Linked DNA regions of Drosophila melanogaster. The protein of the gene in region 3 interacts with the protein of the main gene of each other region in a pairwise test. Each region holds a gene or a part of one and is shown on either strand. Other genes may lie near its edges. The genes, in order: scb, cpb, Cp15 and CG13671.

Region 1 (6,755 bases), on a different chromosome or scaffold from region 3:
GGAGCTGGTATATTGGAGTCTTACCCATTGGGTCGCAGGCTCATCGTGAATCCGAAGTATGACGCACGCACTTTGGGCACATTGGTGGCGAACTGGGGATCCAATATCTGCCGGTTGGGTAGTGGCGATAGGTTGAATGCATTGCAGTGGCTGGACAAGCACCACAGCCCCAACACTAGCAGCGCCCAGAAATCACGATCTTGCCCCACCATTTCGGCAGTTTTGCAGACCGCGATTATTCAACAGATTAATGCTACGCCACGCGTTCGTCGCCTGAACTATCTGCACTACGATGTATTATCACTTTCGCTTTAAGCGATGCCGAAATCCGCCGCCGGATATAGATTGCTGCCGTTCCGATCGAAGGTCTGTTAGCTACTAACCAAGCGCACTACTCCCCAGAGACCTCACCGCTCGGCGGTGATAGCGAGAGAGAAAACGGGTTACGGTTATGCTCATTCCTCGACATTTGCTATCTCAAAAGGTGCGAGAGAGCGCCGCTCTGTTTTGACCAGGCTTACTCGCGGTACCGTTGGGGCTCTCGTGGGAGTGGCGTGAATAACATCTTCAAAACGATTGCCATACCATATTTGCGCTTTTTATAAAATTGTTTGTTTTCTTAAGCAGCAAAAGCTGACTAATAGGACAAGATGGAGCGGAAAATGTAAGATAAGTCTTAACTGTAAAAGAATTTATTTTTCCAGCTCTAACACTGCAACCTTTGCACTTTTTAAATTTAACTGATTTCATTTTTTATCGAAACTTCGAATAATAATTCAAACCAAGGAAACTAACTTACTGCATTTTTTTATGAAAACGCCAGTAAGATTGCACATATAATGTGAAGCAAACAATCGTTTTTAATCAGCTGCATTGACTGACTCATTTCAAACCCACTTCACAGGATATGAGGTTCAATTTGAGATTAGACAGTTCAAAAAATGTATTGATTTCTTTGTTAAAACAGTCAGTAAAAGTAAACTATGGATGACACCTTTGTTATTGGCAAAATACGAATACATAATACATTTCATAATTCTCTAGCCTTAGTTTCACCTCGATTGACTTTTTGATTTACTTATCTATACAAGTTTTCCCCCGTTCGAGTCGGTGGCTTAGTCAGTCGGATGAGTCACCATGCATGCACTTATTTCCCGGCCTGATTTCAGGCGTAACTTTATCCGCATCTCGGCGCGAGTCAAATGGTTGGAGCTTAATTGCATGCGAGAAAAAAAAAACGACAGTCTCAAAAAAAGAGTCAACATATTTAAATAGGCGAATAACAAGCACATGCCACTTTGGCTACCTGATCCAGAAATTGTTTATGCTGAATATAAAGTGGTGTGAGGCCTAAAAACAGTCAGCCAACATTTGTTTTGGACTGAACGTTCGGCGTATCTCAGCTGTAATACAAAGTATGGGTTGTCGCTTACGTATTTTCCCAAAACATGAGTCATGGCCAAGTAAACCATGTCTGCACACGCATCTGCCCCCAAGCCCCAACTTTTTCCATGGCCTTTGTGCATAACTACAGCGGTGGTCAATTCAGTGTGAGCAGAAATTAAACAGAAACTTAATAAATTGTATTACAACTGTTAACTTAATTTATTTTAGGAAGATTTGAATGACTTTTTGAAGAACTATATTTTTTTCACCATCTGTTTCACAAAACAGTCACCTTACAATTATAACCTATTAGTTATTAAAAAAATAAACTAACTTAAAGTATTTTAAAATATATTGCAACTTTATATATCTTTGCAAATTGTCTTCTAAAAAATAGTTGTATGGCATACAACAGCATGCTAACATAATTGAAATGTGAAATTTCTTTTAAATAGTATAATTTCGTTTGTAAAAGTACGCTTTTGGTGCGATGGCGCTTTGTTTAAATGCCGAACAAGGAACGTTTATCCGTTTTTGTGCGCGGACAATAAAACATCTTGCGGACCACACAAATCTCCAGCGCCATCTCCATCAGCCAAACAAAAACAAAGAACCGCTGCAGCGTGCGGTCATCAAATGTTAAGAACAAAAGCCACCATGCTGCACCGTTTTCCGTTGTGGAGTCTTCAGTGTTTTTTTTTTGTTTTTGTTATAAGGAATTCGGTTTAATGACCCAGCGTAAGACGGCTAAAAATATTTGTGTGTGGTGTCAGCTGAACGGACGAACTCTTCGGAGGGCGGGGATGCGGATGGGGGCAGGTCTGCAGACGCCATCGCCTCCAAATCGGATTGGAAACATTTGTGACTCATTTCGCCAGAATGCAAGTGGTGTTGGGAAACTGTGAGTGGATGCACTTCCCCCGCATTGGATTCGAATTCAGCCCTAATTTCATTGGGAGACCGTAAACAAGAACTACACTTTTTGTTTGTTTCAGCTAACTTCAATTGATGTGATATAAATTACGGCTTGTCGTGATTTTACGCGCAATTTCCGTACATAATTAGGCGCACTTCGTAATAGCCAAGAGTCATGGGTATTTTGGGATCCAAAGTGCTGGTAATACAAAAAAATGTAGGGGGGGGGGGAAGAGCGGGAACTGTAGAGGAAGTTCCAAATTACCCATCCAGGTTTATGGAAATAAAATATGGTCAAAAGCTAGCTCGTTATGATCGCGTACGAGTACTGCATTCAAACCAGGTTTACTGATCGCCTCAATTAAAACCAGATAAGGTTGTACTGACCAAGTAGTTCTTGTATCTAAGCTGTGGCCTGAATTTTGGCAAATACATAACCTCAACTACTCTAACATAAATTACAAAGCATGAACTATCATCTCTCTTTTTCGTTTAAGAGAGAATACAGAGTAGATATCTCGAGAATATCTTAAAAAGCGTATCTGAGCTTCGATCTGACCACTTTCTTCTTATTCAATTAACTGTGATTTGTGGCGCCGACTGAGGTGTGTGATGTCATTTTTTGGGGCCCGCAAACCAACAAAAGTAGCCGCCATATGATATGTAGGTCGCCCGACTCACTGAAAATTGTTCGGGTTTGTCAATTGTTCGAGACGGAGTTGCGATCTCTCGGATCTGTGGCAATTGTAGTTGAAGTAGACAGTTTCTTTTTTTTTTTGTTATTTTTAGAAAATTCGGTCTGAAGTGGTATTGCTTTCGAGAGGTTTTCAAGCTGGGGTTTTCGACATGCCATGAGAGTTCTGTCCCAAAACTCGAACAACCTATGCTGAGCACCCATTTACGACTTGGCGAAAATGACATTTTAATTTCTTGGCAAATAGAGCGACCGAGTGTTAAGTGCCAATAAACCACCCAAGCCGATACTAATTTTGTCGAGCCTCGACTTCTGTCGATCCCCTTTCGCAAGCTTCAGTTTCCATTTCCGTATGCCAGAAGTTTCAAAATATTGACAGAGGTGTGTTGGCTTGCAACTGAAAGCACTCGCTTGTCTTGCGTCAAACATAAGAAATATGTTGATCGGTTATCGAAATAAGTATGTTTTCGAAGTATGGAAGAATCTCCCTCCAGACCCTTACACGTATGTATGCAAATATTTGCCGCGATCTACAGCTGGAAAATAGGTAACTCACCTGGTCTGGCGGATGACAAGCGTGTATCCAAAGTAGGAGCTGCGAGTCTGGTTTATGTGGAACTTCAGATGCTTCGGGGAGTTTATCACCCGACTGGGTCGCGGCATAAAATTGAATGCTTCGATGTGAGAGATCAGAGCCAAGAGGGCGAGGAATATGTGAGGGAACATTGTCGATTCAGCATTCATTGGAACTCATCAAAATTAAGTTTTCGCATTCGTAATTTCGTAATTTTGGTAATTTCACTTGAATGGACCCCGGCTCTTCTGAGGGCAATAAATCACAATTGCGCCAGAGAGCCACACCACTGAAACAGGATCCGTTGGCACTCACTTATTTATGATTTATTGAATTTAATTGAAGCACTCACACACTCGAGATCGCTGCTGTATGGCGGCGGCGTTCTCTCGAAATTATATTAATTTAATTAAGCCCAGCCGGCGGCTTTCGCAAATCTCTCGCGAGATCTAGGTGGCAAACTTGTTTTGGCTCTTGTCACTTTTGCCGGCGACAAGTCGTTGTTAATCGCACTACTCGACCGCGCCGTATCTCTGCACTGATGTGTAGCTAATAGCTAATAAATAGCATATAGCATATAGCCTATAGCATATATGGTGTTTTATTTCCGCAACGCTAGTCCATAAACGGGGCAACAGATCAGTGCTGGACGTTTTCACTCTTCGACGACCCGAACCGAAATGAAATGAATTCAAGTGCTGCAGCAGACTTGGACGACCGTCGATTCTGCTGGCCGATGTGTCCACCCAACACGATGGTCGAAAGAGATGTTCTGACCTGCTGTAGTGTGTGTTTACAAACATGGTTGCGCTGAGATTTCTGATGATCATTGATAATAACAATAAAACTTTAAGGTTTTCAAATATATTTTTTTAGTATCTAATATATTGTTATAAGAACTATCTATATATAGTCTATTAGTGCTTTATATTTTATACCTACACTTGATTTTGTTTAACAATACTATGGTATATCTAGTACCGGTTTTTGTCAGTGCATTCTCAATTCGATTGCGACCATTTGTGGTGGTGGCTCTCCTTGTTCGCACGCTACTTGCATTTACACTCCCCCTACGCGTTTGCTGCACCCTCGCACACACACAAACGAACGCACACACACAAATAAACGCACACCCAAGTGCGAGAGTACAAGTAAGTGGGTAAAAAAGCAAACGCCTGTCACCATGGAGTTCCAACTGGGAGCCGTATTTTCTTATTAATACTCATTGAAGGAATCCCGACTTTATATATATGGAAACAGGCCAGCTTATTTGTTCCTCATCATCTGGTAGATTTGGTTATAATTAATATTTACAATGTTTTAAGGCTCATCAAGATCTGCACACTGAGAGAAAGGAAATTGTTTTTATGGAAATGTACTTGTTAGTTCGTAGTTATTGCACTTATTCCTAATTTATTTCTTATGTATTATACTTAAAAGATAAGTAATGTTTATTCTTTATTTAGTTCTACTTTTAAATAATCTACATTCGTATTTTAAAATATTTTCTCCGAGTGATTCCTTTTCGGGATGTGGATGAGTGCCAGTGGAAACGGAGAGCATATGGCGGACATAAAGGATGCCGATCACGATTCCCAGGCAAATGGCCACCCGAATTGAACGGCGTACTGCTGTCATTGAACTTGGCTGCCGTGGCATGGTGATCAAATGGCTTATCAGCGGGCCCCAGGGCAAATATTTATTGTAAGTATAAAGTAGTATATGCCCCTCGTGCTGCCTTATCCGTTCAACGTTTATCATTGGGGTAGGTTGGGTGGTGGTGACCACAATTTATTAACTTTACGATCCGGTGACATGAAATTGTGCCCAGCACGGGGGGTTCAGTGGTTCAGGGGTTCAATTAGATCGACAGGGGTGTACTCTAGTTGACTTTTCCTCCAGCTATCGGTTGCCTCAAGCTGATAAGTTGGAAAACCGCGCTTAGATCGCTGGCTGTTTGTGCGCCCAGTAATTGATTTTCATTTTCAACGCAGCCTGAGCCCGCCGTTTATCAAGTCAATGTAAAACAATAAAAACTAATAAAACAAAAGTGGGGTCTGAGGTCTGGCAAGTCGTTTCCACCGATAAGCGAAACTACAACAGCCGATTACGCGCCATAAAACTCAATTCACAAGTCGAATGCTCCCAATACGATTCATAAATAAAATTCTCTTTAAAAGTTCGAAAGTTGAATGTTTGCCAGCGATTCATTCGGGTAAACAAAAGAAGTTCAAAAGGGCGGCTAATTCGGTTTTCCAACGCCGCATAGCAAGTGTTTTTTTGGACCAGGCCGCTATTGAAATGCGCAATTAAGCGCCCGCCAGGCGATTTGACAGCAATTATGTGTTACTGCACGCCAGCAGCAACAACAGCGATTGCTGCAACAGCAGCAGCAACACGGCCGCAACTGCAGAAGGGGGAGGTGCCACGCCACACTGCCAGGCACATAATTGAAGTTCATGACCCCCCATCCTCCGCTATCGGGGGCAGCTATTTCTGGCGCACATCCCAGTCTCCAGATGCAACCAGTAGCGGCAACAAAAGCACGAAACAGGGTGCAAATTGAAATGTTCCGGAGCTACGATGTGCATCAAATGGGGGAGCTGCCCTTGAAATGGATCCGTATAGAACTCCCAGTTGCAATCTGTCGTTACACTTGGCGGAAGTTTGTGACTATTGTTAGCGGCGGACACTTATCAGCGAGTTGTGTATATAATGGTTGAATCGGAGTCACAAGTCAGCAACAACAGCGGTGCCGGTGCAAACTGCACTAAAAAAAAAGTGTTGGTTCATACTCAAAGTATAGCTAGTCATAATTTGAGTTTTTGTTATTCTAAAAATTCTGTATTGCACCTATTATATTATATGTCGATTTCTTAAGTGGTAAAATGTCCAGTTTTTCTCTAAGTGCTAATGGATATTTATCGAATCGTCGACGTGAGCTTGAGGCGCAAAGCGGCGCCTTATTTGGACTTTCTGGGCAGGCATAAATGTCAAAAGGAAGTGTAAAAAAAAACTAAACACGTCCGTGAATCAATGCAGGTGTTCACCTTCCTATGACGTCACCAATTTATATACATATATAATGGTAGAGGGGTTTGTTTGAGCTCAGTAAAAATATTATTTCCAGGCAGAGGCAGAGAATGAACTTATTGCACATTAGTGGCTATGGAAATAGATCCTTCG
Region 2 (6,395 bases), on a different chromosome or scaffold from region 3:
TTATACGATAAAGCCTAAATTTATAATCTATAAACACGTAAATGCTAAAACAAAATGCAACTAAATAAATGTTAAACCCCAGAAAAAAAAAAAAACACAAACCACTTCCAATTGGCAATTTTATTGGTTAACCAAATTAAACACAACACCCAATTTCCTATACCCACAGTACTGACAGCATTTCGGACTCGATTGATTATGCCCAAAAAACCCGACCCCAAAAAAAAAACATAAATGTAACGAAATATGTATACTAAAGTTTACGACTATCGAAAGTAATTTTTATGAACAAAATCAATGTGTTTAGGCCTAAGCAACTTTACAGTTCAGTTCAATGCGAAATTTGAAGATGAAGCTAGTTGTATGTACGCCATGGTATATATGGCATATGGTGTATACTCCATATATAGAAGAGCATTCCCCCCACGTCTCCCCCTGCGCCCCTCAGTGTGTAAATCAAGTTGTTGTAAATTTGTCTAACACGATGGATCGAAGGAAGTACAAATTATATTTAATGTGTGTATTTTGATTGTTTTATTTGAACTCACGCTTTGGTTTTCCCATTCAAATTGCGTTCGTATTGCGTATAAGTCACACTTGAAAACTACAAAAACTTTTGGAACAATGACGAGTACAAAATTTCAGGAAAAACAAACGAAATTTAGCAGATAAATTAAAATTAATTAAATATATATAGAGGCGAGGTAACGATAAAGAGGAAATCGTACAAATTTTTCGGCATAAATATAAAGTTAAAATTTTAAGCAAGGCTGTCGGTCAAAAAAAAAAACGAACAGTTGGTGTGACTTTTTAGGATTGAAGTTAAGTTTCCACACAGATTACGCCCCTTTGATTTCCTTTATTTGGACCAATTATTTTTGAAACCAGAATGAATGCAACAGAACTTGAGTTACACATGAACTATTCGATTTACTTTGTTCTGAACTGAAAAGTTTTCGAATTACCCAAACGAAATTTTAACCACTTGAATTCAAAAAAGACGACAACGGTCCACTTGCGAGGGAATTTCGGAATGAGAAGTACTTTACGTGCATAAGGTTAAACGAAAAACAAAAAAAAAAATAGTTTTAAAAAAACGCAAATCCGTTTGGAGCAAACTCAGGGCATTATCAAGACTCACGACGATGTATACATGCATTTAATACAAACAAAAAAAAAAAATAAATAATGAGAAGAAAAACAGAAACTTTTTCGATATGTATTACGATAAAAAAAAAAAAAATTATGAAAGCAACCGCAAAACGGATGTAATAATCATGCGAAACGATTATGAACAACTCAGGTATTAAATATTAAATGAAATATTTTTAAAAACTTATAACGAATCGAGCGGGCAGTCGGTCAGAAGTCAGAATCAGCATTTTCACAAGTTGTGCAATATTCTTAAAGTTTTCTAAATACGTAATAGTATTAATAATCTAATATGCGATCATGGCAAGGATCAGTGAGTTGAGATGTTCATAAGCATGGGATCCGAAAGGTTGAAGATCGAGGATCGATGATTGAAGATTGAGGATTGAGAGAAGGTTAGGTGAGTTTTTGAAGCACATGAGGACTAGGCGTGTAGTAAACCAGCCCTAAGAATTTTTAGTTTTACCACCCACACAAGTCAAGAAGAACAAGCCACAACAAACACACTCACAGAAACACACACACACACATACTCGACGCGAAATGCGAAAATAGTGAAATAAATAGCTAAATGAAAATGAGTTTATATAAAGAAGGAAAACATAAAACTGTGATTACATTTGATTGTCGAAGAAGCGTTGATAAGCAAGTGTTGCATAATTATTGAGCGAAAGAAAAACGATGAAACGAGAAATACGATTGAAAATGGAGTTATGTACTATTATTGAATCTGAAACCGCTTTTGATTTCGAATATTGGCACAGTGTCTAGCATGCGACAGAGCATAAGTAAATAAATCAATATTAATTAGCCGAAATATTAAACTTCAAAAGAACGACTAAGAAATACAAATTATAATTATCTAAGTTATTCGAGATTAGTGAAACCTGCCCTAATTTTACAAGTCACCTGTAACAGTTTTTATCCTGGCTAAAAATCCAGAGCTGCGAAAAAAAATCCCTCGATTTAGTTCACATTTCTCTGAACGATTTCTGTATGTAGTGCACCTTAGTTAAAAATTAAAGTCTGAGATTTTACATTTATCGTATATGGTCGAAGTATACACCTAAAGAGCGCACTTGAAGCGCGAGTCTAAGCCCAAAGCGGTTAATTAAGTTTATTGAACCTACTACTACTAACGAGGCAAAATCCCACACGCTACGTATTTGGCTAAAATTAATGTAAAAATCAAGAAATCCAAGGATCGATTCAGAAGGATACGTTTTCGGAGCACGCATATGATTTCTAAATAAGTATGTATGTATGTCTGAAGAGTGCGAAAGCGAAGCAGCTTAAATATATTTTAAACACGAACTCGGATAAAAATTTACGATTATGCCATACATTTTTGTGTAACATATTAAAAACTACGAGTAAGCTAAACCCACAGTCACACACAAACCAAACGCATTGTAACAGAAACTCACAAAACACGGAGAGGAAATGGGCAACCAGAATGGAATTAAGCATAAAAGTATATGAACGAAAACTAAATTCAATAAACTTGTTGCTAAAATATAATAAAAGTAAGACCATGGTTTTATTTCGGGCGGATTGAGTGCCAGAGTTTATTTTTATAAAGTGTACTGCAAATTATTGCCTTTTGTAAGTAAGTAACTGCCATTCGTTATGTTAATTTTCAAATATTTCCGCTAGATAGTTAGCGGGTAAGAAATCGATATACCAAATCGAGCGAGCAATCGATGCTCCACCAAAATGAACGATATCGCATAATAATCGGGCTGTGTTCCAGCTCTAGCACACCATAGCAAAAATAAAAAATCCTAATAATAAGGAAAAAGAGTCAATTTAGTGCAATCACTTGCAATATAAGCCCGAAATCCTAGCTAGAGTTTAAGATCGGCCCTGCTCAGCGAACGCAGGCCCCTAACATAAACAGTGTAAAACTATCGAAACAAGGGAAAGCAGAAAGTACCAAAATGGTGAGTAATACTACAATAGTAACAAGAAAAAAAAGCAGGCCAACAAACGGTGTTTTTGGTCGGAACCGCCCATTCTGCAAGCCAAATATTCTTGGCAATCACCTAATCCACCGAGAAAACCTCCAGAGGGGCGGCGGCCTGTGGCCTCAAATAATGCCCATATATGGTAATCCCTGGTTTGCCGGGTGGCAGTGGAAAGCGGAGGGATTTTTTGGGCTCTCTTATCGGCGGTGGTGCAGTGACTCAAATTCAATTTCACTGGTGTCTCTTCTCCTCTCTTCTCAGTCGGAAATGCAGATGGACTGTGCTTTGGATCTGATGCGGAGGCTGCCGCCCCAGCAGATCGAGAAGAACCTTATTGATCTGATAGACTTGGCACCGGATCTCTGCGAGGACTTGCTCTCCTCCGTGGACCAGCCGCTGAAGATCGCCAAGGACAAGGAGCACGGCAAGGACTATCTGCTGTGCGACTATAACCGGGATGGGGACTCCTACAGATCGCCCTGGTCGAACTCCTACTATCCGCCGCTGGAGGATGGCCAAATGCCCTCGGAACGACTGCGCAAACTGGAAATCGAGGCGAACTATGCCTTCGATCAGTACAGGGAGATGTACTACGAGGGAGGCGTCTCCTCCGTCTACCTATGGGATCTGGATCACGGGTTTGCCGCCGTTATACTGATCAAAAAGGCGGGAGATGGCAGCAAGATGATCCGCGGCTGCTGGGACTCCATCCATGTGGTCGAGGTACAGGAGAAGACCACCGGCAGGACGGCCCACTACAAGCTCACCTCCACGGCAATGCTCTGGCTGCAGACCAACAAACAGGGTTCGGGAACCATGAATCTGGGCGGATCCCTCACCCGGCAGCAGGAGCAGGACGCCAACGTCAGCGAGTCGTCGCCGCACATCGCCAACATTGGCAAGATGGTCGAGGAGATGGAGAACAAGATCAGGAACACCCTGAACGAGATCTACTTTGGCAAGACCAAGGACATCGTGAACGGACTAAGGAGCACACAATCACTGGCCGATCAGCGCCAGCAGGCGGCCATGAAGCAGGACCTCGCAGCGGCAATCCTGCGACGCAATGTCAAGCCCGAATCGAACTGAGTACTGAGCGGCTGAAGGCTGAATTTCCACATAAACCAATCCAGTCCAGGGGCGTCCCACAAGCTGGCTGCTCCCAAGAAGAGCGCAGCAATATTCGAATTGCAAGGCACTGTTGTCACCACTAAATATTGTCATAAATATAAATAATTTTCATAATATTTCGGCTGCACCCACCCAATTCGCTGTTACTCGCCCAATTGTGTTGAGCAGCTCCGTGGAGGACTCCGCTTGGACTGGACTAAAGAGCTGACTAAAAAATATTAAATACGCATTTCTAGGCAGTAAATTTGTTACATGAGAAAATTGTTACACCACGAGAAGCACATTAATGTAAATTTTGCCCGCCCGTTTCAACTGTCCTCCCACATTGTTGCCGTTTGGAGTCGCGCTTCATCCAGAGTTCAGCCGAAAATGCCAACTTCGCCGCCCTCAAGACAGTATCCATAAGTATTTGTATCTTATTTGTAATAATGCATATTTGCACCGAAGTCGAGGCACTTGCGTTTCGTTCTTAATCCTTCCGCGAATAAATATTGTGTTTATTAATTGTAACTTTGTGTTTGTGTGTAATCTAACAGTAAGGCGCTCGAAGCAAAATATTAACTGAAATCGCTTTGTGATTGTATTATCTGAGGAAATGCACATTACCTTTCTTCTTTACTTAATATTTTTTAACTGAAATTTGGAAGGCAAGAGAAATTTTATACAAAGAAACTAATAAATATTGAATTACAACTAGAAGTGGTTTCATTGGGGGAAAACATCATATTATCGCAAAAGATAAGATATATAAAATAAACTACTACACATCACTCCATCGATGTATACCATATTCTACTTTTAGTCACGACATATCATATCATAAGCTAGTTAGATAAGGACTAAAGAAAAACATGGCGAGTTTGGTTCATGGCTACCTTTAAGATACGTTTGCATTTATTTATGAAAATCGGAGACCGTTTGATTAAAAATATGTAATTAAATACCTTGAGGTGTGTGACGCAAACGATTGTGTGCTTACTTAGACAATTACTTTTAATCTTTGCATAGTCGCGTTTTATCATAGTTATTACAGAATATACTCGTAGATTTATATAGATCGTTTCGTCTTGTGTTACCAGCTATATACATACAATGAGGCGACCACCAACAGCTCACTCATACACCTTTGCGAGTGTAGTTAGGGGCAGCAGCACAAGAATTCAAGTCGAAGTTTTTAAATTAAGTTCTCGGATCGTCGCATAGGTATCTACAACTTAGGCTAGGTATTATGAATAAGTTAGGTTTATTTAGAGGGGGGGAGGACGTGCGCGTAGAAGGAACTACGATTACATACATTATTTTACACGGGCTCAGAAGGCGTGGCCGGACAGACGGTTCTCGAAATTGGAAGATCAGTGTCAGCGCAGCGCAGCAATAAGGGGTTTTCCTCCTCAATGGCGGATAGAACTAAAAAATACATAGCTGCTGGCGGGAGACACGGTTGCGTGAAAATGTGCAAAAATATGCGTAAAAAGTCTCTTCGGTCCAGCGAAAGTCACAGCTTATTGCATTTTCGACACCTCGAACTTGGTGTTGATGATTTCCTCATCGGAGTCCAGGATGGGCAACGCCGAGTCCGCCATCGAAGACGGTATGTTCTCCTCCACCCAGCGCAGGTCGTCTTCCTCGGTGGTCGTGGCATTTCGTGAAGTCGTCGACGTTTTCGGCGTTCCATTCTGGCCGCGCATTTTCACGCCGTAGGCATCCGCGACGAACTGATCCTCCTCGTCTGCCAAAAGTTAAGGAGTCAATTAGTCCTTGTTTGCAGCAGAAGTTCGGGTTCTAACTTACCCTCATCGTCTTCGTCTTCCGGGTTATCCAGCAGCGGAGTGAAGGCATAGCGCTGGTTGTTATTCGTCGGTCGCCATAGAATCATAATCACCAGCAGCAGAACCGAAAACAAAATGTGCCAAAAGCCAGTATCCACCCAAATGTCGCGCCAGCCCTAAAAAAAAAACACGAAATCAGCAAACCCCTGTTCGCAGCTCCATTCATGCTAATCAACAACTTACAGGCGTGCAATTCTCGACCCTACGCAAACGCAAAGCAAACAGCATGAATATGACGGAAGCGATAACAGCGAAGATCAGCGTGTTGGTGAAGTGCCTGTACAGTGAGAGCTTGACCATATTCCTGGAAAAGGTA
Region 3 (5,102 bases):
ATCCGTCAATCTTGGCTTGAGGTTTCAGCCGACTTACATTTGCATTGTATTGCGAATAATGTTACTATTTAATATTTATCGTGTCGTCGTTGGCGCTAGTTCCAGTTTCCAGTCTTATAATATTTTTACTTAATTCCTAAGAGCAAAGCAACTAGCTTAAATCCCAATAAAGCAATCTTGAAGAGAAAATGCATACGGAGAAAGATCGTTTTCACTCGTCTTCTGGCTACTGGATGCTGGTACCCTGAGCCTGGCCAACATCTAAATAATTTATTATTCATTATTAAATGTTTGCGCCCGCCCATAAGCCATTCACAATTTGTGTAGCGCCAATTGAATGTTATAAAAAGCTTAGTGCGGCAGTTTGGAAAGTGGAACGGTTGTGTTTATAATTTTATTGTAATTTTATCTCAATTTTTTTTGCTTTTGTATATAAATTCTACCAACGCAGCAGAATTTTCAGGCCACTGCCTTGACTTCACTGTGTCACTGAAAAATCGGTGTCAAGCTCTCGGCACCGTGGGGCAAAGCAACTGCAATACTGATCGAAACTATGCGGATCCGGAGCACGAAGAGTCATGCGGTCGGAATCTTACGTAATGGGTCTCGTCTCTGGTAGACGATGGCGTAAGCACAGACGCCTGCTATCTGGACCGGCCCGAATTGAGAGCCAGCATTTTGGCCAGTGCGGATTCGGCCTGGCTGCACGTCTCCGGCGGCGTCTCAAGATTGCTGGACAAAGAGGCGAGGCCTGGAACTGCGTCTGCGGGAACCCGGAGAGCCGAAACTTGCATCATATTCGTCACGTAAGAGTTGGGCCTCTGCCTGGATCTGGTATAAAAACAAAACATTGCGCCAGAATAAGACATTAGTTACCTTCGCATCGATCAACTAACCAACTCAGCCTCAGAATGATGAAGTTCATGGTAAGCCTTAAGTTCCAATATTGTTTCTATTGACACCTCAACTGAGTCCAGTATGATCCTTTCAATAAAATATAACTACATATTATAATAATTGGATAATATGATTGGATCTTTCTTTTCTAATACACTTCAGTCTAAACCCAAATTAATTGAATTTTTTCTTGAATCCCTTAGTGCATCTGCCTCTGCGCCATCTCTGCCGTTTCGGCCAACTCCTACGGACGTTCCCGTGGTGGATACGGTGGTGCCCCAGTCGGTGGCTATGCCTACCAGGTGCAGCCTGCCCTGACCGTTAAGGCGATCGTTCCCTCATACGGTGGTGGATACGGCGGAAACCATGGAGGATATGGCGGTGCCTACGAGTCGGTGCCTGTGCCCGTGTCCTCTGCCTACAGCGGTGCCAATGTGGGATCTCAGTACTCCGGTTCCGGCTACGGCGGTGCCCCACCAGTTGATGCCCAGGCCATTGCCCTCGCCAAGCTCGCCCTGGCCGCTCCCAGCGCTGGAGCTCCTCTGGTCTGGAAGGAGGCTCCCCGCTACGCCCAGCCCGTCTATCCCCCCACCAGCTACGTGAACCAGGAGTACGGACACAGCGAGAAGGTGAAGGGAGGCTCCGCAGCCGCTGCTGCCAGCTCCGTGGCCGCCGGAAAGAAGGGCTACAAGAGGCCCAGCTACTAAGTGGCAAAACGTTGAACAGTGAACCAAAAACTTACCTGCCCATAAGGAACTAGGTCATAATAATAAAAGCCAAAACATCAAGACTTAAAATTTTGAGTACTGTATTCTTGCTGGGTTTTTAGTTTCGGGCCGAGAATTGAGATCTGCATATCTTAGCTGAATTGGCATAGACTTGCGGTTCATTGCAATGCCAAGCGATACTTTGAGCCAGCAAAAATTTCGTGGTTTCGTAGTTAAATGAAAATGCTGCTTAAAGTGCTAAAGAATAATTCTCATGGCGAATGAAGCTGAAAAGCTAAAACTAAATTCATTTGTGGGGCCACTTTAAAACTATAGTTCGTCAAATAAGCCTTGACTTTTTTAAGTTACCATAAGTAAAGAACCTATTAGATAAAATGAGATTAGATAGAATATAGTTTTGCTTGAAATTATGTTTTTGTAAAATTTCAAAATGATTGAAATACTTTAAAATGTTTTAGTTATAATTTTAAGTTTTGTATGTGACTAGTGGTCACTTTAAAGGGATGATTCTATATAGGTTTTATCAGAAAAACCGGCTGGAACCAGTTCTAGAAGAATCCTCACTTAGACAAGCCAAGTTCCGGACACAACCGACCTGGAAACCATTACCCCCGAGAATGTGGATAATATAAAGTTCAATTCAACAAATTTTGGACTGTATTCGAAAATAAACGCGTTCGTGGTTCCCATTTGGAAGAGTCGCGTGTTCGTAGTGCTATCACTACCCAACACCCGGTAGAATAGCACATCGCGTAACCAAGCGATTTTATAATGGCTTGACAACAAGTACATAAATCAAATGTGAGTATATTCCAGCCGGGCAATTATGAAATGCCATTTCTGGGCTGAAACAGAACAATTAGTGTATATAGGTCACGTAAATGTCCAGGCTAAAATTTGCGTATAAAAGCGAGCGTTTCTGGTCGGTAAATCATAGTTTGATTGATTACCCCAAACCAACAAAACTAAGCACTCACCATGAAGTACCTGGTAAGTTGTGGTAGTCCCCGTGAAGGAGTGGCAGCCAACTGATCCTCCGGATTTCCCCTTTTCACCTTCAGATTGTCTGCGTTACCCTGGCCCTTTTCGCCTACATCAACGCCAGCCCAGCGTACGGCAACCGTGGAGGTTATGGTGGTGGCTACGGTGGTGGCTACGGTCCTGTTCAGCGCGTCGTCTACGAGGAGGTGCCCGCCTACGGACCATCCCGTGGCTACAACAGCTATCCCCGCAGCCTGCGATCGGAGGGTAATGGAGGAAGTGCCGCTGCCGCTGCCGCCGCTTCCGCCGCTGCCGTGAATCCCGGAACCTACAAGCAGTACGCCATTCCCTCCTACGAGTTGGATGGCGCTCGCGGCTACGAGATCGGACACGGCTACGGCCAACGTGCTTACTAATTCTCGCTTCATCGGCAGTGAATTGAACTATCGACTCCTTGCTAAAATCCTCGAGTGGCTGTCATGGCGAAACTCTGAGAATCAGTGAATAAAAGCAGCTTGAACGCAATGGAAAATACCGAAAAGAAATACGTATTGTGTGTTTTGCATTGTGACATACTTTTCAGCGCATTCGGGTTAAGATTTAGCGGTGGGTCATTATTATTATTCCACACACAAGATGGGTTTCAAAGTGGGGCAGCTAGAATATTCACTGCGGCAGATTGTACAATACTATATAGAAGTACTATTGCACTTTAAGCTACAAAGTCGACAGGTTAAGCTTCAGTGACTCAAGAATTTAGTCACCTATGAAACCCTTAGTTTCACTAATAGATTCTTAGACGAACATCTTAAATTGTATAATCAAACAAAGGGCTATATATATTACAATAACATATTTGCCAATGTGCATAAAGGCATAGACTCTGAAGTTATGTTTTATCGTTAAAATTTGGTTTGTTCTGTTTACTTGAAGGTATAGATAATATTATAAAATCCATATCCAATAACCATTGGTCAGTCGTTGGCCCGTTATCCCATTAACCCGCTTGCGTTCCCGCACGCACCCAAATGCAACCATTGATTTTGGGCCTCAGTTGGGAGCATCTGCATCTGCCACCCCCAACGAAGGTCAACCGGCGAATGGAGGCGATACGATACGCTGCGGTGAGCAACCTGCTCGAGCCGAAACGAGCTCAACGTGGAGCCCCGATATCTGGCTAGGAAAAGCTAGAAATCCACAGAAAGTTCCCCAACAAACTGGCCGAGAAGAGACGACGAAGCCAGCTCTTGAGCCGTGATAAATTTCTGGGCGAGATCACGTTTCGAGTGCAACAATAAATTTGCTTATATAAAGAAGTGTGCTTGGCCATTTAATATGTTAATTCAGCCAACTGTGCCAAAACCCATACATCATAGCCATGAACAAGTTCGCTGTAAGTGTCCCTGAGAACCGCTTCCGTATTCCCTGCCGCTCTTTCATTTTCCGGACTTATGCTAACTGAAAGTTTTCCTGATTTTCCAGACTCTGGCAGTCATCTTCTGCGCCTGCATCGTGGGCAGCTGCTACGCCAACTACGGTGGCCAGCAGAGCTACGGACAGCGATCTTACGGTCAGGATAGCTCCGCCGCCTCCGCCGCCAGCTCAGCAGCTGCTGCTGGAGCCGAGGGTCAGCAGCGTTATGAGCGCCCCGTGGAGATCATCGCCGGCGGTTACCGCGGCAGCTATGCCCCCGAGATCCTGCGTCCCATCCAGGTCAGCGGTGGATATGGCGGTGAGCGACGTGGCTACAACGGTGGCAACTACCGTCGTGCCGGCTACGGACCCCGTTGGACTGTCCAGCCCGCCGGTGCCACCCTCCTGTACCCCGGCCAGAACAACTACAAGGCTTACGTCTCGCCCCCGGAGTACAGCAAGGTGATCCTGCCCATCCGCCCTGCTGCTCCAGTGGCCAAGCTTTTCGTCCCAGAGAACCAGTATGGCAACCAGTACGTTAGCCAGTACTCTGCACCCCGCAGCAGCGGCTACTAAGCGCATACTTGATTATCCCCAGCCAACCTGGCGGATACTTGATCTCAGCCTGATCGTGTACATAATAAACAACAAGAAAAAATCATAATCATATTTGGAATATATATTTTTCGGGGCTTTTAGGTATTTTTTTGTATATCTATGAGAAAACAAATTTTCGGGTCTTTCGAGCTCAAATGCAGCTGCAGCAGCTGTTCAGAGCGGGTGGAGCATTGTTCATTTGATTGCAGTCGCCACCGGGAATGTCTTTGAGTGGCTCGGCGGAAACGTGCTCCGGATTTGCTTGCTCCGGTTCGCTCGCAAATCACTCAGCAAGCCATAAACAGTCAATTATTTATTGTGTCAGTCAGTCAATAATCTTGAGGCCAGAAAGCGCCACAGTTCGCCGTGTTTGCCGATTGCCGCGCTCATTTTCATATTTTCTGTATTCTGGCTGGTAAGCAATCGCATCTGCTGACTTGTTTGGGGCCAAACTCTTGGCCAAGAGCTTCAATGTTGCTGGCCATC
Region 4 (6,681 bases), 430 kb from region 3:
CACTGCCAAACGAGGAACACTTCGACTTCCTGTTCAAGATCGTCCTCATTGGTGACTGCGGGACGGGGAAGACCTGCATAGTGGACAGATTTAAGACAGGGAACTACATAGAGCGACATGGGAACACCATCGGAGTGGACTTTTCGATGAAGACCATCGCCGTGGAGGGCAAACAAATCAAGGTGCATAACGGATTTGCCCAGATCCCGCCACTAATATGACTCATATTCTGCCCCTCTTCCAGCTACAAATCTGGGACACTGCTGGTCAGGAGAGGTTTCGCACTATTACGCAGAGCTATTATCGCTCGGCCAACGGGGTCTTAATTGGTGAGTCCCAGTATGGGTATCTTTTGTTTCGTCGGGCATAGGCATACGCCCATCCATTTGTCATGCCAAATAGGTACTACTGATAACCAGAGAACGCTTTAAAGTGATTGCCTGGCACTGATTTGAATAGCGAAGCGCCTTATCAGCGGGGTGTTTGTTTACCCTACTTGAATACCATGTGTTTCCTCCTGACAGTTTACGACATCACCAAGCGGTCTTCCTTTTCCAATCTGCAAAAATGGATCGAAGAAGTGCGTAGATACACTGCTTCTAATGTTTTGATAATCCTCGTGGGCAACAAGTGCGATTTGGAGGAGCAGCGCGAGGTGGACTTTGAAGAGGCGCGCCAGATGTGTCAATATATACCTGAGATCCTGTTCGTGATGGAGACCTCCGCCAAGGAGAACATGAACGTGGAGGACGCCTTCCGCTGCCTGGCCAACGAACTTAAAGTACGATTCCGGCTATTGTTACCTAAGCTAATGATGTTCCAATTACAGCGCCAACACGATGCCAACAATGTGGAGGAGGTGCCAGAAAACACCATCACCTTGGGCCAGGGAAAGCCTTTAAAGAGTTGCAGCAGCTCATGCAATCTCACCTAGACCTAAATCCGCTCTTTAGTTTGCTTTTACTTTTGTGATCAAATTGTTCTTGTGGCTATATATTAGTATTCTAATGCTTTAACCTAATCCTAGACACTAACTTTTACACAACCATGTATTTATTTTTGACGATAGAGTACAAACAATCTCACACATCAGCGAATCGAGCCAACAATGTCAATTACAAGGCAATGCTCAGAGAGGCAAATACGTCCACTTCTCTATTTGTAATTTGTATTCAATTTGATATGCGACAGTGTCGAAATAAACTCGTTTATTTTGTAATTTTATTGGAAGTATCGTAGTTAAATTGGCTTAGCTCCTAGACATTATCCATATACACGTAGATTTAAATCATCGAGGGACTCCTGTTCGGACGTATTTTACACTAAATAAAATTGGCTTGGCAACAACTTTTCAAACAATTTGGAAACGCTTAAAAATTGTTTATATCAAAATTGGTTTACTTTCTCTAGACAGCTAGTCGTTAATGATTAATTAGCTAATATGTAGCATGTGTGGCGGGTCATTTGTTCTTGATGCGCTGCACGATCCACTCTAATCCTTGATAGAGTCCTTCGCCGGTGAGCGCACAGCAGGCCTGGATGTGCCATTGGTGCTTCTTGATGGAGGTGAGGTCCAGTTGTCGTGAGATTTCCGCCGCCGACATAGAGCCCTTGAGATCCTGCTTATTGGCATAGACCAGCAAACTGGCCTTGCTCAGATCCTCATGTTGCAGCATCCGGTAGAGCTCTTCCCGCGTAACAGCTAACCGTTCCCGGTCCGTGGAGTCGATGACCATGATCACCAGCTCTGTGTTCGTGTAGTAGGTGCTCCAAGCGGCGCGCAGACTCTGCTGACCACCAAGATCCCAGACAAGAAAGTGTATATTCCGCCAGACGACCTCCTCCACGTTGGAACCGATCGTGGGACTTGTGTGGACCACTTCGTTCATCAGGAACTGGTACAGGATGGTGGTTTTGCCCGCGTTGTCCAGACCCACCATCACCAGCTTGTGCTCCTCGTTGCCAAACATCCGCCAGAGCCGCGATAATAACAGTCCCATATTTGAACCTTATTTTTAGCTATATACGTATATAATCAATTGTTGATTATGCTGCAGCTGCTGTTATTGTTGTTGCTGCTTCCACCGATTAGAGATTTGATTTCGAACGATGACGGCGATTGCCTCACACACAGGTTATCGGCTGGCCTGCGTGTGTATGCGTGGTAGACCCGTGTGTGTGGGTGTAAGTGAACGCTGAGCTTTGTTGTTGTTTCCGCAGGGGAAGGCGAAGGCCGTACGGTAAATTATTCACTGATTTAACTATTCAGCTATTCACTCCACACTCTCACACCCTAATTACTGTTGTTGTTTTCGCCAAATGGGAATTTTTTTGGGGGGATTGGTGAGCGATTTTCAGGTGGTTTGCCTTTGGGTGGTTTCCATTCGTTTCGTTGCAGCGGGAAACGCTACTTCGTTTACGCGTCGCAGTGGGTTTAGAACAGCCGTTGTTGATAATTTAATTAACAGAGTTTTAATTAAGAAAGTAAACAGCAGAAGTGATTAATTAATATCACTTGGAATCGATAGTGCTGCTATCGATAACTGCGGGCAGTGTGGGGAAGAAAGTAAAGCTTAATGAGACCGTAACCATTTAGTGCTTAACAACGTTTCTTTTGCATTTCCAAAACAAGTTATTTTTGAATATTGAACCTATTTAAAGAATTATTTTCAAATTTAAAATTTAGATTTAGTCATTACTTATAAATTATTATTATTAACAACACTACCGACGTTACCAGTGTGGCCATCCTCGCGGCAAACATCTGTTCACGGCGGTTGCTGTTGTGTTGTTCTTAACATCTAATTAGCTTCCCACCGGTTGCAATGAAAATAATTTTGAGCCTGCTGCTCCTGGCTCTCTCTATCGCTCAGTTGGACGCCTCAAGGTCAGCCACATCCGACCAGGCTCCCATTGTCGAGTGTCCCGGACGCAGTGTTCCCCAGCTCCGTGCGGAAGCGTCAGAGTCAGAGATCTCGCTGCTATTTTACTACGTGTCCTGGGCCAGCGAAGCACGGCAGGCACGACTGGTCTACAATGGACTGGCCCACTATTACCAGGAGTATGGCTTCTTTGGAGCCATCGATTGCTGGCACTTGCAGTGCAATTGCAGCCGTACTTTGATGCCGGCACCAGGAGTCGCCGGCGCAGGAGGTTATCCTGACAAATGGCCCACGCTGATCGTGCGCTACGGCCAAAAGCAGTTACTCCAGTACCAGGGCTCGTGGAGCTTTGAAGATCTCGCCCGGTTCATGAATAACCTGCTTCAGCCACTGGACCGGGCACACAGTAGTCAGGATCTCGCCGCCATTCGGAAGCACTCGGATGCGGTGGTTTTGGGTCTGCTTGACTCGCCAGACGACAAGGCCTACAATCTTTACTTGGCTGCCGGTCTGCGCTGGCTGGAACTGGATCCGGAGAGGAATATCCGCTTCACCGTGTACTTTGGCAACAGTGCCAGGAAGATGTTGAAGTCCTCGGAGGCCAAGCTGCCCCAGTTTGTAGTTATCGACAGCCGAAATGGAGTTCATACGTTTAATGGTACATCTGGAGTATGGAAGACCATCGACATTCTGCGCTGGGTACGGAGCACACTCAAAAATATGTCGCTGTTCTCCAATGGCTATGGCACTCCTATGACCATCGCCATGAAGGCACGACATGTCCCCGTGCTGGCTATGGGAGTTCGAATGAACCAATATCACCATGCTAGCGTCATGGGCGAGGAGATGGCTTACGCTCAAAAAAAGCAGTCGGAGGGGTGCGAAGACTACTGGAAAAAATTCGATAAACAATCTGAAGACATATCCTCCTCCCTAAATCAAGTTCCCAAGGAGCTGTTTGGGGATGGTGAACAAACCCGGACATGTTACCCGGCCTGGAGTAAAAACAAGACCACACTTAAGAACTATTATCGGATTAATAGGTATCTAAACCACCTATGGAGGCAGTACTCGCACCAGAACCATCCGAGTTATCGAAACGTCCCCCACTTGCTGCGGCTTCACTCCAGAAACCTTTGCCTGGCACACTCACAGCATGGAACGCCGGCCATAAAAATCGGCATTGCCAAAATGGTAACCAAATATGGCCAGCTCATTTGGCAGCACTCGACGGAGCGCGCAGCCCACAATCGGTCGCTGGGCGTGGTGATCTTCGATTCTGTGAAATATAGAGACTATCTACACCAGCTTGGCATTCAGCAAACCCATCAGCAGGTGCAGGTTTTCATCTTGGATGCGGCTGAAGAGTCACTGTATGTTATGCCACAGCAACACACATTCTCCTACGTAGCTCTTAAAGATTTTATACGGCAGTTTTACGCCAGAACATTGCCAAGGACTCACAAAAATGCTCTTGCCATGATGGAATCTGGGTTCAGTAGAAAATACAATAGACAGATGCTGTTGCAGGCAATCCAGCGACCAAATGTCACCAATGTGGTATTTATGCATCGTCCTGACTGCGCTCTGTCAGCCGTTCTATCCCAAGCATTTCTGCAGGTTTCGGCGCTGCTCGGCAGCCCCGAGGTGCACTTTGTACGCTTCGATAGCCAGGCTAATGATCTGCCCTGGGAGTTGGCCATGCCAACCACGCCGTCTCTAATTGTCTTCCCCCAGGCAAAGAGCGCGGAATCCGTGGTTTTCCCAACCGATGTGCGGATTGATGTGCAAAACGTTTTTGCATTTGTGATCGCCCAATTGGAGCCGGAGCAGCAGGTGCGTTCGGTCTTGACCAGCTGCAGGCGGCGGATGCGTAACGTTAGGAGCTGTCTTGACTTTGCCCGCAACCTGGTACTCCAGCACGTTAACCAATATCTCAAATTCTGGGATATCTATGAACGGGAGCGGGACGACATCCTTTCGCACCTAAGGGAGTTCAACAACTTGCACATGTCCATCGAAAGCAGCATTCGATTATAGCGAAATCCCCCTGAAATATAACTTTAGTTAAAAGTTACCGTTGATATTTCCTGTAGATCGTAAGGCTAAAGTTGTCTCTTCATAAGATATTTAACACTCATAGTTGTATAAATATACATACATATAAACAAAGGGTAAATCAATTTTTTTTCGTAGCTTTATTTTTAAACAAAGTTCAGGGACAATGTAAACAATCAAATGTGCGGCCGAAATGACTTTTGATTCAACTTCTTTTTTCTTCCACTAAAGTTCTGTTACTCAGCAAGATATGTGCTTATTCAGCCTCGGATATAATCGAATATTTGTTCTGCGCCCTTGTGAATGAGCCAAATGTGTGCATGTACGCTTTTTCCTTTCTGCAAATGGCATGAAAAAGGCTCGGTATTGTTTTGAAATTAAATTCTTCTTAATTTGGAATATTGAATAGTTGGGCCACATGATGGTAGCTACCACCGCATGTCTGAGCAATACAAAGCTTTCTTAGCAGAGTGCTTGCGTTTTCTAGACATATCTTGATTTCATTTTGATTCATACGATTGAATACATTATGATCCTTAGCCAAAAAGAACTCCAGTCTACGAGCGCGTAGATGATCCACCAAATGACTCCACATCTCAACCAATAGGGTGCCCAGGTCTCTTTCCCAGTCAGCACTTTCGAGGCGATGAAGCAAAACTGTTTTCAACATGTAGCTGGACAAGTGAGGCAATTTCCTGGCGTGGGCATCCCGCAATCCTTTCATCAGCCGTAGAACGTTCTTCAAATTATCCTTGCCCTTCATAATTTCGCGCTCCCAATGTGGTGCACAAACCATGAATGTGGTTCTCGGTTTAGCCGACTTCTTCTTCTGTTGCGGAATGGCGAACCATGGCCAATTATTGCTAACATCAGCAGGAACCGGGCAAATATCAAACGGCCATTGGCTTCCAGAGAATTCGAATGCTGGTACCAAATCAAAAGATATCGAGCGACTACCACAAACGGCTAAAATGGTATGGGCACAACCATACCCCTCAAGAGTATAGGTTAATTTGTAGACTCGATTACTGGTAGTGGCAATTGTCTGATTAGACCTGAATACCTTGCGGAATGCATTGCGTAGCCAGTCTTGAAGTACAATACGATGGATGCGTTGGGGATTGATTACGGTGAGATCAGCCTCTAAATAAATAAACCCTTGGTCGATCCGAGTCGGTCGGATATCAAATGGAAACTTTAGTTTCATGTGCAGATCAAATTCATCGGGCAAATTTAGCTTGACGCGATCCAAGTAACTTCCTAAAAGATACGTGTACATATATTTTTAGGTACATAATGTACATACATAACGATGAATTTACGAAAGTACAACATTTCTTGCAAAAATGATAAAACAAAATAAAGCAAGAGATATCAATTGTAATTGTATAGCGTTGGATTATCTCGACTTACATTTGTATTACTTCCGTCAATTTACACTTTTATTAAAAATAATATTGAATGCATTAGAAAATCGACCAGACAATGTCTTGTAACTAACATTATTCTATTTATTTGTTTTGTTTTTATATAGAAATATATGTAGAATATATGTAGAATATATGTAGATATTTAAAATTAAATAACTTACCTCCAAGACTGAGTCCGTCGAATACCTGGCGAAAGGTTTTGTCTACCCGCTTAAGTTCGTCAACTACATAGTTTTGAATTTCCTCGGCTTCCTTGGTATATACGGCCCTTTCATTGTCAGAGATTGACAATTTCTCAAGAATTCTTTGAA

The links.
Region 1: the proteins of Cp15 (region 3) and scb interact in a two-hybrid assay, tested with the Drosophila melanogaster proteins (one large-scale study listed by BioGRID).
Region 2: the proteins of Cp15 (region 3) and cpb interact in a two-hybrid assay, tested with the Drosophila melanogaster proteins (one large-scale study listed by BioGRID).
Region 4: the proteins of Cp15 (region 3) and CG13671 interact in a two-hybrid assay, tested with the Drosophila melanogaster proteins (one large-scale study listed by BioGRID).

What each region holds. Positions count from the first base shown.
Region 1 is NT_033778.4:15,246,280-15,253,034, reverse strand, and holds the start of scb (scab), read right to left. Parts: upstream 4,252-6,755; 5' UTR 3,740-4,251; coding exon 3,552-3,739; intron 386-3,551; exon of another isoform or gene 213-385; coding exon of another isoform or gene 25-212; intron 1-24. UniProt on the Drosophila melanogaster protein: Integrin alpha-PS3/beta-PS is a receptor for laminin. Also binds to wb. Important during embryogenesis for the development of the trachea, dorsal vessel and salivary gland, as well as for dorsal closure. Required for short-term memory processes.
Region 2 is NT_033779.5:1,702,020-1,708,414, forward strand, and holds cpb (capping protein beta), read left to right. Parts: upstream 1-2,882; 5' UTR 2,883-3,092; coding exon 3,093-3,095; intron 3,096-3,111; exon of another isoform or gene 3,112-3,258; coding exon of another isoform or gene 3,259-3,261; intron 3,262-3,380; coding exon 3,381-4,208; 3' UTR 4,209-4,758; downstream 4,759-6,395. Other genes in the region: CG17660 (uncharacterized protein), read right to left, coding at 5,753-5,979, 6,042-6,195, 6,263-6,383. UniProt on the Drosophila melanogaster protein: F-actin-capping proteins bind in a Ca(2+)-independent manner to the fast growing ends of actin filaments (barbed end) thereby blocking the exchange of subunits at these ends.
Region 3 is NT_037436.4:8,725,924-8,731,025, forward strand, and holds Cp15 (chorion protein 15), read left to right. Parts: upstream 1-2,557; 5' UTR 2,558-2,603; coding exon 2,604-2,615; intron 2,616-2,686; coding exon 2,687-3,022; 3' UTR 3,023-3,143; downstream 3,144-5,102. Other genes in the region: Cp18 (chorion protein 18), read left to right, coding at 912-926, 1,101-1,604; Cp19 (chorion protein 19), read left to right, coding at 3,985-3,999, 4,089-4,595. UniProt on the Drosophila melanogaster protein: Chorion membrane (egg shell) protein; plays a role in protecting the egg from the environment.
Region 4 is NT_037436.4:8,297,291-8,303,971, forward strand, and holds CG13671 (uncharacterized protein), read left to right. Parts: upstream 1-2,773; 5' UTR 2,774-2,825; coding exon 2,826-4,922; 3' UTR 4,923-5,051; downstream 5,052-6,681. Other genes in the region: Rab19, read left to right, coding at 1-182, 245-329, 525-781, 830-934; Arl5 (ADP-ribosylation factor-like 5), read right to left, coding at 1,461-2,000; CG7194 (uncharacterized protein), read right to left, coding at 5,329-6,200, 6,532-6,681.